Linked DNA regions of Diceros bicornis minor. The main gene of each other region encodes a partner of the protein of the gene in region 2 in a complex. Links are inferred from orthologs where the notes say so. Each region holds a gene or a part of one and is shown on either strand. Other genes may lie near its edges.

Evidence for each region. Proteins that work in one complex are often made in the same cells at the same time.
Region 1: the proteins of NSUN4 (region 2) and MTERF4 are in contact, whole or in part, in a crystal structure (PDB 4FP9), measured with the Homo sapiens proteins. The link is inferred for Diceros bicornis minor from reciprocal best matches to the Homo sapiens genes NSUN4 and MTERF4. Residues at the interface, in NP_950245.2 of Homo sapiens: Pro61, Ser62, Arg64, Val65, Leu68, Ser69, Glu70, Arg136, Gly137, Asp138, Ile139, Arg141, Asn367, Leu368, Met369; in NP_872307.2 of Homo sapiens: Tyr267, Glu269, Arg270, Leu271, Gly272, Arg273, Glu311, Glu312, Val315, Phe316, Lys318, Leu319, Arg322, Glu323, Glu326.

Annotation. Positions count from the first base shown.
Region 1 is NC_080776.1:27,970,568-27,978,251, forward strand, and holds the start of MTERF4 (transcription termination factor 4, mitochondrial), read right to left. Parts: upstream 3,018-7,684; 5' UTR 3,003-3,017; coding exon 2,694-3,002; intron 1,375-2,693; coding exon 876-1,374; intron 1-875. Other genes in the region: PASK (PAS domain-containing serine/threonine-protein kinase), read right to left, coding at 6,230-6,339, 6,993-7,139. UniProt on the Homo sapiens protein: Regulator of mitochondrial ribosome biogenesis and translation. Binds to mitochondrial ribosomal RNAs 16S, 12S and 7S and targets NSUN4 RNA methyltransferase to the mitochondrial large ribosomal subunit (39S).
Region 2 is NC_080752.1:9,208,040-9,215,618, forward strand, and holds the start of NSUN4 (5-methylcytosine rRNA methyltransferase NSUN4), read left to right. Parts: upstream 1-4,571; 5' UTR 4,572-4,613; coding exon 4,614-4,706; intron 4,707-7,579. UniProt on the Homo sapiens protein: Mitochondrial RNA cytosine C(5)-methyltransferase that methylates cytosine to 5-methylcytosine (m5C) in various RNAs, such as rRNAs, mRNAs and some long non-coding RNAs (lncRNAs).

The DNA of each region.
Region 1 (7,684 bases), on a different chromosome or scaffold from region 2:
GTTAGTCACTGTCTTGCTAAATATGTCAGGAATGAATTTCAGGAGTTTAGACTACATCTCTGCCTCTTAAGGCTGTGCTGAGCTTGCTAATTAATAATCATGCACATAAGTATTAAGTTTAGCCTCTCAGATTATACTGCAACAGGGAACCTGTTAAGAGAAACACCCAAGGCTATCTTTTTGCTTATCTGCTGGAGAAGGCGGCCTATAGATCCTCTGAAATAGTGGATCCACAAACCTTTTCTTCTCCCCAACAATCTTACCAGTAAGAGTCAAGAATGAAAAAAATAATAATAAAACTCCTCGGGTCAAAGTGGGTACCAGTTCTTGGAGAACCACATGGGCCCCCAGCCCCTATTCCAGAAAGCCCTTAAAGAGATCCAACGAACTTCCAGGATCCTTGAGGTACGAATCCCACTGGAGGTGAGGGTGGTGGCTGGAGGGAACAGCCACACCACCAGTTTCCCAGGAACCTGGGAAGAGCTCATGTTCCACAGTAAATCAAGGCAAGCTACCTGGAATCCAAGCCTTTACCAGGAACTTTGTAATATACACGTATATCAACATCACATATTGACATCTATCTGTTGAGCACACACTAGGTGCCCACCACTGTTCTACATGCTAGAGCCCCCACAGTGAACACACTAGACAGGAGTCCCTTCCAATTCTCTCTTCTAGTCCCAACCCTCCCCTCTTCCCTCCTGCAATGCCCTCTGCAGAGGTCACTCCTCTTCCTCACCTCCAAGCCAAATCACGCATTCCTCTCAAGGCCTTTTCTCCAGAAACTTTCCCGAATCCATCTCACCTATACTATTCGTTCCCCAACTCTGACTCCTCTCAGCACTATGTATAAAACCTGCGCCTTTTTGTACCTTCTTCAAGCCCAAGCTTTCGCAGGTAACTGGAGCGCTTCTTCATGTGCATTACAGGCACTTTCAATAATTGAGGACTTTTCTTCAAGGCCACATACACAGGCTCTGGATTCAAACCCAAGAGTATTAATTCTGAAATAATGTCCAACAACTGTTGAGGGTGGGTACCTGGTTGTATACTGAGCAATTCATTAATATGGACATCACTGAAACCCATGTCCAGGAGGGAACTGATGACCTTCTCTCGCTCCAAGGACCCTTGATCCACAGGAGTCCTCTGCTTCTCAAGGAGGCAGTGAGTAAGATTTGTCCTGTACTCTGGTTCCTGCACATACTTTTCGGGTTCAAAACAGGATAAGTCCTCAAGGCCCCCTCCACTGGAGGCTGTGGTCAGTTTACGCAACAAAGCAGCAGTCGTCGTTTTCTGTTCTCCAACATGAGGAGTCTGCCTAGCAACACGGGCCCAGATGAGGGGGATCAGGCAGTGCCGGTCAAAGACCTATAAGACACAGGACCAAAAGGGAATCATTTCCTCACCACCCCAATGTAATAGACACCACAGGATTTTTGAACCAGGGTATTTAGTGCCTTGGTCCCACACAAACGTAACAGTTTTTATAAGCAATCTGCAAAATCTTATCTGAACTTAGCCTACAGAGAAGGAAGTTCACATATAGAGAAAAGAGTGTTGCAAGAACATAGAGGTCAGAGAGTCAAACAAGTCTCCATGAGCTTTTGCTGCTATAATTGAGGGGACAGAGGTAGGCAGGGACAAGGCAGAACTAGTTTAAGGCCACCTGGTAAAATCTGCCTACCTGAGGAGACAACATTTTCCTCTACCCTCTAAGGGTGAGTGCCTGGGGGGCCTGCAAATTTAACTGACAATACACGGATTAACATGAGGGGAAAAAACAAAGTTTATTCATATACATATGTCAGCTCACAAAAGAGGTAGCTCCTTAAATCACTAAAGTTAGGGGCTAATTTAATAGGGGAGACAGAGGGGTAGAAAAAGCTTCTACGGGAAGAACAAATGGGTTTCTAAAGAAAAAAAGAGAGATAACGTCTGTGATAATGTTTGCTTGTGCAGGTCCGAGCAGTCTTTTTTCTTTAAGGCTACAAAACTCCCCAGGAGAGGGGTCCATGGCAGCCTCATTCCCAGAAATTTCTGTTTTTAGGGAGGTAAGGGAAGCTCCGAGAAAGCTTCTTTCTCTATCTGCTGAATCTCAACCATCTTTAGTTTAAAATAATCCTCACGCCAACTCTGGGGGTCCGGGTTGGTATCCACACCTGAAACATCTGGACCTCATACTAGTCTCCAGATTCACGTACCTAAATTTATTCCACAAGAAGAATCCTATTGGATATAATTAGCCTGTCAGCCAACTTGTATAGAGAATTCCCGTTTACGTCAAAACTCTTCAGCCGTTCAGGCAAGCGCGTAACCAAACAAGCACAGATCACCCAGACACTCACTCGCTTCCCACCCCGTCCCAAAGCCCCTCCAGCGTTAGGTACCGTCGCACCCCCGTCCGTCAGTCAAGCCCACGCGCTCGCTGCTCCCCAGCTTCCCCCGCTCGCCCTGTGGGTGGTCCCGCTGCTCCGTCCGCCGGATTCACCCCCAGGTCCGGCCCAGCGCGGGGCGCGGGAAGCTGCGCTCACGGCGCACTGATGGAGCAGAGAGCGCCGCGGGTCCAGGGCGGCCCCAGGCCGGCGTGCCCCGGCCTCACGGGAAGGCTCCGGCTGCGAGGTGCCACGGCCTGCTGTCACACACCCCGACGGCTGCCGCTCGTCCACGTCCCCGGGGACCCCCGGTACCTGGCGCGACCTCACCTGCCGGACGACCGCCGCCATAGCCCACAGACGGTGGTAAAGACCCCGACGCCAGAAGCTGAGCCCTCCCCGGTCCGGCACTTCCGCCCTCCCCGGTCCGGCACTTCCGCCCTCCCCCTCGCAAGCGCGAGAGCGCGGGAAGCGCGTTCCGCCGCTGCCCGCGCAGAGCGTGTCCAGCGTTGGGGCCTCGCGCCGCCCGAGGCCACGGGTTCTCTGCCTCGTGCCGACGTTGCCCGGCTTTCCCACTTTCCAGAGCTCTCGGCTAGCATAGCCAAGGAAAAGCTCCAACGCCATACTTCTGCTTCCCACTATATTAAAATTCCTCTGAAGAGCAGAAGTGAAATGAAGCCGTAACCTTGGTTCAGACCCGCCGTTTCCTGTGGCGCCAACAATGACTTCCCCCGAGAAAGCAGGAGCCCTCCTGAAGCAGGTGCGTGTTGGGTTGGAGACAAGGCCGTCTGAGTGAAAATGGAGTGGGTCCCAGATCAAGTTATTCCAGACTTCGTGTAAACCCGTCTCCAACGTGAATACTGAGGACACACACACGCACAGACAGGCATATAGAAGATGACAGGAACGACGGCCCTGCAGACTCAGAGGTCTGGTTTCCTGCTGGGATGGAATCCACTAATGTTTCAGCCTGATTTGTATTCATTCTTAAATTTCAAATCGAGACCTGTAATAGTTCTAGTATAGAGCCTAGGCATCTTTTAAAAGGGGATAGTGTGAAAAAGAATAAAAAGGTGTGCTTTTTTAGCTGCCTAAATTCTGCCACTTGTAAGCCCAAAACCTTAATTTATAAGCATTTCTACTTGTTTTATCTGCTTGTTTCTGAACTGAGAAAAAGGGCTTGATTCTTGCAAGGTTACAATTTACAGAGTACCTGCTCTGTGGGAGGCACTGGGCTGGGTGCTAAAACATATCTTTTTTACAAAAGGTTTATATCAAAGAAAAGGAAGATTGAATCTGTGTGGAACCTGTGGGAGATCAAAATTGGCCACCTCAAAATATGTCTCTTTACCTTGATTATTTTCTCTGAAAGAAACTTTGACCTTCCCCCAAACTTACACCTAAAAGTGATAGACTGGGAGGGTTCTTCCTAAGCCCATTCTTATCAAAGTTCTGTTTACCAAACATTTACACTTGTAAAGGTAACTCCCTCTCTGTACCAGGAAGAAGGGGGGATGACTTTATCTCTAGAAACTCTTAAATCTGCATACTCTTGTTACTGTGCTTTCTGGTCATCTCCCATAGCTGTCTCCCTTCCCACACCCAACATCCTCCTTTGTCTGTCTGAATATGCTATTTAAGTTTCCCTGGTTTCTCCCATGTATACATGTTATAAAGCTTTGTTTGATTTTCTCCTGCTGTTCAGTCTCATGAGTCAATTTACTTCATACCCCAGCCAGAAAGGACCCAGCATGGGTAGAGGATAGCCTTCCTCCCCTTCAAACCAAAGAATTGGTTGTTTTTGTTTGTTAATCTAATTTTCTTCTTAAAACACTCAACTGTCAGCACCTCAAAATAAATTATGTTAATGCTTTTACACTCAAAGCCTAAGAAAATCCTGCGTGCCACCCCCATGCCCTGGAAGGAATCAGGAAACCAACAGGTTATCTAGCTCTAGAAATAACACGGCGGCTGGAAGGCAGGGATTACTCTAAAAAGCCGACAGCATCTTCACTCCTCTATGAAAACTCTGCTCTCTAGAATCACGCTTGGAACACGGGGAGAAAATTTGTCAGCCTCGGCCTCAGCATGTTTCCATCGGGGCTCTTTCTGGGAAGAACACTCCAAGTATCAGACCTTCTACTACCATCAGGTCAGATGAGTTTTAATTATTTTGTCTTATGAAGAAGTAACAGTTGTTGGAGAGCTAGGACTTTGCATTCTCAGCCCATTGCGCACCTGTCTAAAAAAAAACATTATGCAATTTCTTATGTATTATAAGCATCATAAACACTACAAGGAAAAATGTTTAGGTTTTTTTCACTCTTGAAAACAGAGTTCTTAGAACATCAGGAAACTTATTTGAATTATGAAGAATAAACATCACTAACTTTTTACTCCACGCTTTAAAGCTATACTTCTAAAAACCCTGTCTTTCCTGTGCCTGATGGAGGAGGGTCCCCCATCAGTCTCTTGTGATGACTGGGAGACTCGGGCTTCACTTTCTAAAGGGCAGGATGGCAATATCCCATATCCCAGTAGATGAGAATAAAATGAACCGTTATCTGAACATCCTAAAATATTAAGACAGTTGAGTGCTTCCTAAATGAACACTAGAAACAGCACTGGACCATAGTGGAGGCAGGCTGGCCCCTGAGCATCTTCCAGAGGGCTCTGGGCAGGAGGAGACTTGGAACATGCAGAAAGTGATGATGTGGAAAAAAAGCAGTGAGGGGAGTCTTGGTTTCTGTTTTTGTTTCCTTCCTGCTGTCTCAGCAGGGGAAAAAAAATGAAAGGTTTCTCTCTTGCACTTAACCACTCCCTCCCCTCAAACATAGCAAAATAGAGGCTGGATTTCATGTGCTTCAGCTGGCTGATTCTGTTTGACAGGGGAGGAGGCATGTGAGTGTGTGAGAGACGCACTGGGACCTGAGCAAGAGTGGGAAAAGGACAGTGACAGTCAGGGCTGGACGCCCCCCACACAATACCAGAGGTGGGGCCCGGGGCTGGACGCCCCCCACACAGTACCAGAGGTGGGGCCTGGGCTGGCTGCAGGATGTCTGGCGGGTGCTGGGAGCGTGTCATGGGTGGACAGCAGAGTCCCACTGCAGAGCCCACTGCACAGCAGAGCCCAGACAGATGGTGGGCTGGCCCTGGCGAGCTGTGCACAGGGAGAAAGGAAGTGCCTGAGAACACCACAACCTCCCAGTCTCCTTAGACTAAGCAAGCAGCAGAGCCCCAGGCGCCCCCTGTGGGTGGGACCCCCAAACAGACCGAGGTTGATCCTCTCTCCAGCTGTGGCAAGTGGGGCACACAAATGGAAGTGCCTCCCACACCGGCACTGTGGGATAATTCATACCATCCAAGGCAGGGGAACTGTTTACAAAATTGCTTTAATTTGGCATATGTTGACGGAAATAAATTAATGAAAGAGTCTAGTCATTTGGCGAACCAGCTCTACCAATTCCACACCCCAGATGAGCATATACCCAGTCAGAGGAAACAGAAATACATGCATGTATACAAAAGTGGAAAGAGAACCAAAAACCTTTTTTATGCCTTTCAGAAGGTCACAAATTGAAAGCCCTTTAATAGGACAAAACTCAAGTGAACACTAGAATGTTTTTTCAAGGTCATGAAAAAAATGAATTCCAAGTCTATTTTATAAACCTAAAATAATATCATTTCACTGGCTTTTGTTCTAGCATTTATCAAACTTGCATATGAGTTTTTAGAAGGTGAATTCAGCCTAATTCTTAAGAAGTTACTGTCTCTGAATGGAAGGGGCCTGAAAACAATACAATTTCCTAACTGAGTGCAGAAGAGCAACAGGAAGCTGGTGTTCAGCCTCATCAGGGGCCTCCCCGGGGGCACAAGGCTCTGTGCAGCTCCAGGGCCCAAGCCACTTCATTGGGGCTCCTACTCTCCGTCTCCAGGCTCACAGTGGACAGAACTCCGCTTTCTGAAGAAAGAAGTCACTGTATCACATGCTAAGAACACAAGATTCTAAAATACTTTGCTTCTCTCTGGAAGAATTCCTAGGAGCAAACAACACCAGAGGGACCCTCCAGAACCCAACTGGCAATGCTCTAGAGTTCCTGGACCCTACTGAGGTGTGGCAGGGATTCTGCGCCCAGAGCCATCAACACCAGTTCCGTCCGCTTGCTCCGAGCAGCGGTGACCAGACTCACTGTGCTGCTGCCACCAGGCTGTGCAGCCAGGAGCCTTGTCTGAAGAGCCAGGGTCCCCCTGGGTCCCCCTAGAGCATCAAACTCACCACCTGTGGCCTTATCCTCCCCTTCAGCTTGCTCAGACCATCTTGAGCTGTGCTTCTCAAACCCTCGGCCCCCAGCCCCTGACCCGTCTGTGGGTGCCTCCTTGTCAGGGGCTCGCATGGGCACTCACTCACCTTCTAAGGCCCACAGCCAAGCTCTGAACCCCAGTGTTGTTCAGGGGCCTCTGGAACAGAATCAACGCCTGTTTGTTTTACAGGTGATGCCCTGACATTTGTGTCTAGGACAGCATGGGAGCTGGAACCCCTCCTCCTCCACAGACCTAGGAAAGCACCCTGGGGAACCTCCTCACCCTCCATAGTGCACAGGCCACACCTCTCACCTGGTTTGTTTACTCGATACACCTCATCCCAGGTGTAGTTAGCAAGGTTCACGGGCTGCGTCACCCAGGGGTCTGCCACCAGCTTCTCCAAGGTGGTGCGCTGCTCGGGGACAGGCTGCAGCAGCCCAGACACGAGGTTCATGAGATCTGGGGACATAAAGACCCACGCTAGGCGTGCAGCCAGTCTCAAAACTGCGAGGCCTGGGTCCGCCTGCCATGAACGCCTCTGACTGGGCAGGAGGGGGCTGTGGAGCCCCCATTTTTAACTAGCACCCCAGGGGTCCTGGTGCACAGGGCCCCCAGCTGCACTTTGAGAAGGGCTGCAGGAGATGTTTGTCGCCTCTGAAATGAAAGCTTAGAGTTCAAGATCCCGCCTCGCTCACTTAACCAAGGTGCAGAGGTTCCTAACCTCGCCTGTTTCCGGGGGCTCTGGCTTTGCAGAGCTGTGAATGACACAGGTTCACATAAGAGGAGAGGGGAGGGAGGCGGCAGCAGCAGAGTCCCAGATAAGTCCCCACAGGAAGGAGGCATGAGCTCTGAGAAGAGCCCTCAGACTTGAGTCTGGACTTGGCTCCCCTTTCTCCTAACAACATGGGTGTCATCTCAACAGAGCCGCCCTGAGCCTCACCATCCCAGAGGAGTGTCCTGAGAGCCTAGAGAGAGCACGTGGAACAGCCTTGGGGGTGGAACAG
Region 2 (7,579 bases):
TTCAGGGACTTGGGTACACATCTCACAGCTAAAGGCGGCTCCACCTGACATCTAGTCCTGTACAAATGCTGGAGACCTCCAAATCAAACTGACTGGGAAGAGAAGCAGCTGACATCTGAGGCAGACAGCTTTCCCAAGATGACTGGACCAGGCCTGTATACCCTCTTCCCACCATTGTCTTACTTAATTTCTCCCTCTCTTTCGTAGAATGACAATGCCCTTGTCTACATTTCCCAATCCCTTGCCAAAGGGGGAGACCTCTGATTGCTGGATTTGCCATCTGAAACTTCGATCTGTTCAGGACAATAATGACCCCTTAGTTCACCCTATAGGTAGTTTCACTGGAATTCCAGATGCCATTGTATGTTTAAATTGTTCTGCAGGCCCATTTTATAAAGTCGGGGTACTAAGCCTGCCTAATTTCATTCCTTGCTTTTTTTTCTTTTTTTTAAATTTTTTTTTTAATTTATTTTTTCCCCCAAAGCCCCAGTAGATAGTTGTATGTCATAGTTGCACATCCTTCTAGTTGCTGTATGTGGGACGCGGCCTCAGCATGGCCGGAGAAGTGGTGCGTCGGTGCGCGCCCGGGATCCGAACCCGGGCCGCCAGCAGCGGAGCGCGCGCACTTAACCGCTAAGCCACAGGGCAGGCCCCTCATTCCTTGCTTTAATTTAACCCAGCCTTGGGAGGGAAAGGCAAGATCTTATGAATATTTGTATGATAAATTCTGTAGGATAGCAATTGTAAACCAGATCATTTGTACACTTGTTACACCCATATATTTAGGCAACTTCTTAATATGTAAAAACACAATGTCTAAGCCTAGGTTAAATGGTGGTAATGACTCTACGCCAGTGAATAAGTCCATAGATACTGTTGCTTCTGCAGAAGCCTTATGTACAACCCCTGGTTACATTTTCATATGTGAAGGCTCTGACAATAGCCTTTATGCTTGGGCATCTCATTGCCTTAACAGCTGGAGAGTAGGAGATCAGTGTGCCCTTGCCATATTCACCACCCTGTTCTCCCTGCATAACCAATCAGAAGCCTCTCATTGGTCAGTTCCACTAAATTCCTATAATTACCTCAAATAAGAACTTCCAGGAAGTGTGCATGATTCTGGGTTTGCCTCTGTGGGGAGAGCTTTCTTTCTGTGGGTCAGAATAAGTGCTACTGCACAAATGATCAGGATTCTCTCCCTAACACTAGAAGAGTTGGCTGGTTCCACAGCCAAAGCAGTTGCAACCCAACAATAGTTGCTTAACTCATTGGCCAGGGAGTTTGAGATACCTACTTGCTGAGCAGGGAGGTGTCTGTGCAGTAACAAACACCTCCTGTTGCACATGGATAAATAACTCTGGGGAAATAGAGAGCCAATTACATAGAATTAGAGAGCAAGCACATTGGCTACAACAAATTTCACCCAATAACCCACTGTCTTTTGATTTTATTCAGCCCGTTACAAACTGGGCTTGTTGTATTGTTCTTTTTTTTTTTTTTTTTTTGAGGAAGACCAGCCCTGAGCTAACATCTATTGCCAATCCTCCTCCTTTTTTTCCCTTTGTCTCCCCAAAGCCCCAGTAGATAGTTGTATGTCATAGTTGCACATCCTTCTAGTTGCTGTATGTGGGACGTGGCCTCAGCATGGCCGGACAAGTGGTGCGTCGGTGCGCGCCCAGGATCCGAACCCAGGCTGCCAGTAGCGGAGGGCGCGCACTTAACCGCTAAGCCACGGGGCCGGCCCCTGTTGTATTGTTCTTAATCCTGCTTTGTGTACTTGTTGCTAAATGCTGTACGTATTGCCTGTCGAACCTCTGTAAACATGATGTACCTAATAAGTTGATGTTAGCTCAACAATTTGAAACGGTTTCTGAGGCTTACAACCTCAGACAACTATAGACTTTGAATAAGAGATGCTTGAGAGTTCTCCCTCCTGGCCTTCCTTGTTGCTCAAATGTGGCCTAAATGGTTTCCAACCACTGTGCACGTTCCCTGCACCGTGGGACATGACTACCAGGAAAGGTCCTTCCTGGCACCGAGGGACAAAACCACTATGTGCAGAGAACCTGACTCTTGATTAGCAATGCTTGTGGAAGAAGATCTTGATCAAAATGGGAAAATGTGAAAATTAAATAAAGGGAAACCTCATTTAAAATGGAGTTGGGAGGCCAGAAGGGGGAGCTCCCATGCAGTACCACTTGAGGTCAGTTACGGGAAAGATAGTCAATCATAGACCCCAGCAGAAGTCATCAACAGGAAAGAATCATTAATTACAGGAAAAAAATGTACATCGCATCCCAAAGAGAAATCAACTACCCCAGGAACTCAGCCAATGAGAAACCATCACCACTCTGAACTCTTGCTTTTCTCCAATGGATTTTCCTTCAAAACAACTCCTCCCAATTTCCTTTTTCCCTATAAAATAACGTTCCTCTCCTTTGATTATTGGATTTGCTTATGGTCTCCCATAGCATGCATATTCCCAATTGCAATTTTTTAGCTATTCCTGAATAAACTCGTTTTGCTGGAAAAATAACTGACTTTTATTTTTAAGGTTGACAATTCTTATCTGCATTTAAATGTCTACGAGCTTTATAAAAAGGCCTTTCTCTATACATATATCTCCTTGTTACCTTACAACTGCTAGGTCCCTGTAACAAACTTCTTGAAAAAATTGTTTACACTCACATCTCTACTTTTTCATCTTTCACTCACTCATTCAATAAATATTTATTGAGAGCCAACTATGTACCATATACTGTTCTAGGTGCTGATAATTCAGCAATGAATTAAACAAAATCCTTGCTCTTTTAAATCTTACATTCTTGTGAGGGTAGACATGTCCAGAAAAATTGTCCGGAACTTATAAATGGGCAGAAGAGGATTACTGGGTGCTCTTTCATTGTAGTGCTGGGGTTTACATTTGATTGACTTGATGTTGATTAGGCTATCTTACAACTTTGTAGGGGTAGAGGTTAACTTGTAGAAAACTGAGGGCAATGCAAATAATTCTCGTCTGAGAGCAACGCAAACAACTCCTACGCATAGTAACGCAAATGAATTTTGTCCAGCAAAGATGGAATTGATTTTCATCTGGTAGAAGAGATAATCCCAAACATCACAGTTTATTACTTAATAAAATATTAATGTTTTTGCAACTATTAGCAAATTTATTTTAGCATTCCTTTGGCTGATAATCTAAATCTCTAAAACTCAAATTCTCATTGAACAAGTCTTACCATTTACTGGGTCCCTCATTATCTAGGATAATGGGTGAGTAGTTTATTATGATGAATAAAGTCTTTGGCATGTGTTCATTATATATTTGTATAAGAGTTATGTTTTTAACCTTTTGAAAATTACAATTTAGCAGACTATAAGAAAATAAATACATATCAGGTGGTAATAATTTATAAGAATAAATGTGGGGTAAGAGGACAGCTGTTAATGGTGGTGTAGGGCCCAGTCAATCAATCCTGTAATTCTTTTTTTCTTTTCTCCTCCTGCTTTTTTTAAAAATTATTATTATTATTATTTTGTGAGGAAGATCAGCCCTTAGCTAACATCCATGCCAATTCTCCTCTTTTTTTTAGCTGAAGACCACTGGCCCCGACCTAACATCTATTGCCAATCCCCCTCCTTTTTCTTTTTCCCCCTTTTTCTCCCCAAAGCCCCAGTAGATAGTTGTATGTCATAACTGCACATCCTTCTAGTTGCTGTATGTGGAACACCACCTCAGCATGGCCTGAGAAGCAGTGCATCGGGTGTGCGCCAGGGGTTCCGAACCTGGGCCGCCAGTAGCAGAGCGTGGACACTTAATTGGCTAAGCCACGGGGCCGGCTCGTGTAATTCTCTCTTAACTGTAAGTGGAATCCATCCTCTTCTCTCCATCTTACTGCCACCACACTAATCCAGAACATCATCTTCTCTCATCTGACCTCCCTGCCTGCCTTACCCCTAACTACTCTGATCATCTGCTGTCAGATGTTCATTTTTAAAAACACTTATCTGATCATGTTCCTCCTCTCCACCGGCTCCTTGGTGGATTCAAGTTTTGTGGGGCCTAAAGCTTACTCAAATTCGGGAGGCCTTCTTTAAGAAAAACAATACAAAATTAGGTACAGGCCCTTGAAGGGGGCAGTGCCAATGACAGGTCCTGAAACTTAAGCTTCATTAGCTTCACTATAAATCCGCCTCTGCCTACAAGTCTAGCCTGTTTTTTTCCTCTTAGGATCTTTTCTTCGTGCAACTTCTGCCTAGAAGGCCCTTACCACCCCTTTTTGCCTAGTTAACTCTTTCAGTATTCAAGTGCCAGTTCCCAGTCCTCTCTGACCCCCCCAACTGGGTCAGGGACCTTTACGGAGTCTCTCTCAATGCTCCAAACATCCAGGCGGAGCCACCATTCTGTGCGAATGGTTGCTCTTTCCCAGCGCTCTCAAAGATCGCTGGCGGGGCGAGGTTTGCACCCGGAATGTAAAGATGGGCGGAGCCCCGGGAGAGAGTCAGCGGTAATTCCCTCCCCTTTACGTCCAGAGCGGCGCGCACCACCTCTCCGGAACCCGCGAGCCTCCGGTTGCGGTTCCGGTCGGAATTACCCGGCAACGCACGCAGACATGGCTGCGCTGGTAGTGAGAGGTGTTCGGGACGTGCTGAAGCGGGCCGACTTCGCGACGGTCCCGCGGAGACATCGACATAAGAAGAAATGGGTAAGGCCCAGGAGGGAACAGTGACAGCGGCCCCTTGCCACCGCCTCTCGGGAAACCTCCCCAGCCCTTCCACTGCTCGCCCGGCTCAGTTAGGGTCGCTCCTCTCTCCGGTTGGAACGCCTTCGACCTCTTGTCCCGCCCCTCAGGGAGCGTCACTAGGCTCCTCCCTCACATCTGTTACGTCGTCGCCTCTGTCCGCCCTTTTATTTCGTCACGAGTCTTCGGCTCTCCCTCTTGATAAGTGTGCAGCCTCCTGACTCCGCCCCTCTGTTACGTCATCGCCTCCGCCGTCATTCTTTCAGTTATGTCACCGCCTCTTGTTCCCCTGCTCGCGGTTCCGTTCCGCTTGGCTCCCACTACCTCTTCCCCTTCCCTCCCTCCCCCTCCCCCTCCCCCTCCCTCCCCTTCTTTCCTACCCTGACCTCTTCTCCTCCGCCCCCTATGACCTCCTCTCCTCCCTTCCTCCGAGAACTTCGAGCCCGGCCGCCCTCACCCCTCGGAAAATGTCACAGCGACTTCCCGGTCCTCCCTGGGTCTCCTTCGCCCTCCAGGAAAGGAGTCAACTCCCTCACCCTCGAGCTGCCTCTGGCGCCCAGGAAAGGTTACAGTGACCACCCTGCCGGTAGTCCCGGCCTTTCCCCAAACTCAGGCAAAAGGTGCAGCGACTCCCCTCACCCCCTGGGCTCTCCCCGCTGCTCCAGACACCCTTTCTCTGGCCTCACCTGTAGCCCTGGAATTTCTTCCGTAACCGGCCCGCCCCCCTCTCTACCCCGACCGATTCCCTCCCCGCCCCCACCGCCCCCCTCCCCACCCCCACCGCCGCCCCTGCGTCTGGGGACATGTTCTTTTGAACCTTGTTCTCCACTCCTCGGAAGGCCTTACTGCCCTGAGACTATCCTCTCGGGTTCGTCCCCCCCGAGCCCTTGTTTTGACCGGTTCAGCCTTCTGGGGTCACCCCCTCTCCGTCCCCGGAGCCCTTATTGCGGCTGGATCAGCTCCCCGAGAACACCGTGTCCCTGTCCCCGAAGCCCTTACATCGACCAGCACACTTACCTCTGTTACTGTGGTGGATACCCTTCAGCCCTGGTAACCAGCCCGGTGACCTCCCCTCCCCTTACTCATCGGCCCCTGGGAACCACCCCGGTGACTTCTCCTCCTGTCACTCATGTGCCGTTGGAAACTGGCCCCATGATTTCACCTCCTGTCACTCATCAGCACCCAGGAACCAGCCCCGGGACCTCCCGTCCGGTCACTCATGTCACCTTGGAAACTGGTCCCATAATTTCACCTGTTTTCACTCATGAGCCCCCTAGAACTGGTCCCGTGATTTCCTCTTCCATCACTCATGGATCCCAGGGAACTTGCCCCATGATTTCACCTCCTCTTACTCATAGGCCCTTGGGAACTGGCCTCATGATTTCACCTCCCCTTGCTCACCGGCCCATGGAAACTAGACCTATAGTTTCCCCACCCCTTTCTCACAGGGTTTTGCAAACTGGGCCCATGATCTCCCCTCCACTCTCTCCCTGGTCCTCAGGGAGAAGTTATAATGACCCTCCTCTTTCCCAAGCATCTTCCCCACCCACCGGCAGGTTTTACCATGGCCACCATAAGCCTCCAGACTCTTGTGAACCTAAACCACAGCTTGACCCACCCCGTGGGAAAAATTACTGTGGCTCCCCACTTTCTTCTCAGGCAGGCACATCTGGCTGTCCCAGCTCACCTCCAGAGGGCCCTTATCACTATTCCCATCTTCCCCCAGAGACCTGCATACCTGCCCCTGGGAGCCCTTGTTGTGCCATCCGCCTACCCCCTGGGAGTACTGGTTCTCCTTGCTTACCCCAGTCCCAGGCTTCCAGGAAGCCTTGCTTTGAGTCCTTGTTCTCCTGGGAGACTGGTGGGAGCTCTTACCTCTTCGTAACCCCAGTCGCTATGATTTCTGGTCCCCCTTGTCCCCAGGAACCACCTCTTCCCCTGTCCTCGCCTTGTCCTTATTCTGCCTTCTTTCCTTCACCCCTGAGCAACCAGTTTATATCTCCACCTCAGTCACCCCCCCGCAGAAGCTATAACGACCCTCCTCTGCCTACCCCAGCTTGCCCCCAAGTGAAGTCCCCCAAATCCTCAGAGTTAAGACAGCCACGTGCTCCCCACAGAAGTCGCTCCCTGGTCACCCCTCCCCGGCAAACTCCTCCTGACCAGCCCAGGCCCCCTAAGGCCAGCACCTCTCCTCCACCTCCCTCCGGCCCTTCTGGTCTCTCAGGTGCTTTTTGTACAGTGACATCCGTTACAACTTGCTCAAATTCTTGCCCTAAAGAACTTCCCCAAGGGACTACCTTACCTACTGTGGTCCCTAGAGTCCTCAAAACTGTTATCCCCACTTCCCTTCCCCTCCGCCTTCCTTATGATTCTGTCTCACCCAATAGTTATGCTCAGAGAAGCCCCCATGGACCCCTCATAAGATCCCCCTGCAGTACCCATGTATATTCTGTGGTTCCCTCCACCCCCGATCCCTGCCCACTCTCTGGTTCCCTCAATCAATCCACACGCCCCCCTCAGTGTCATAAGCAACCCATGGTGCCCCCCTGTGGCACCTATAGCACTCCCAGGGGCCCACCCCAACCCCATTGCCAGCCTGTGGCACCTCCTTGTTCTACCCACATCTATTCTTGTATCCCTTTGAGAACACCCTTTGACCCCCAAAGTTTACCTATTGCCCCCCGAGCCCGAGGCCGACCTGATGCTATGCCCTGTGGCCTGCATGTCTACTCTGTGGCTTCTCGAGGCTCCTGCAAAGAGTCCTCCCAGATTCCCTACAGCTGTCCTTTGCCTTCATCCAAGAGTTCCAGCTGTAGTTCAACTATTATTATTAGTGA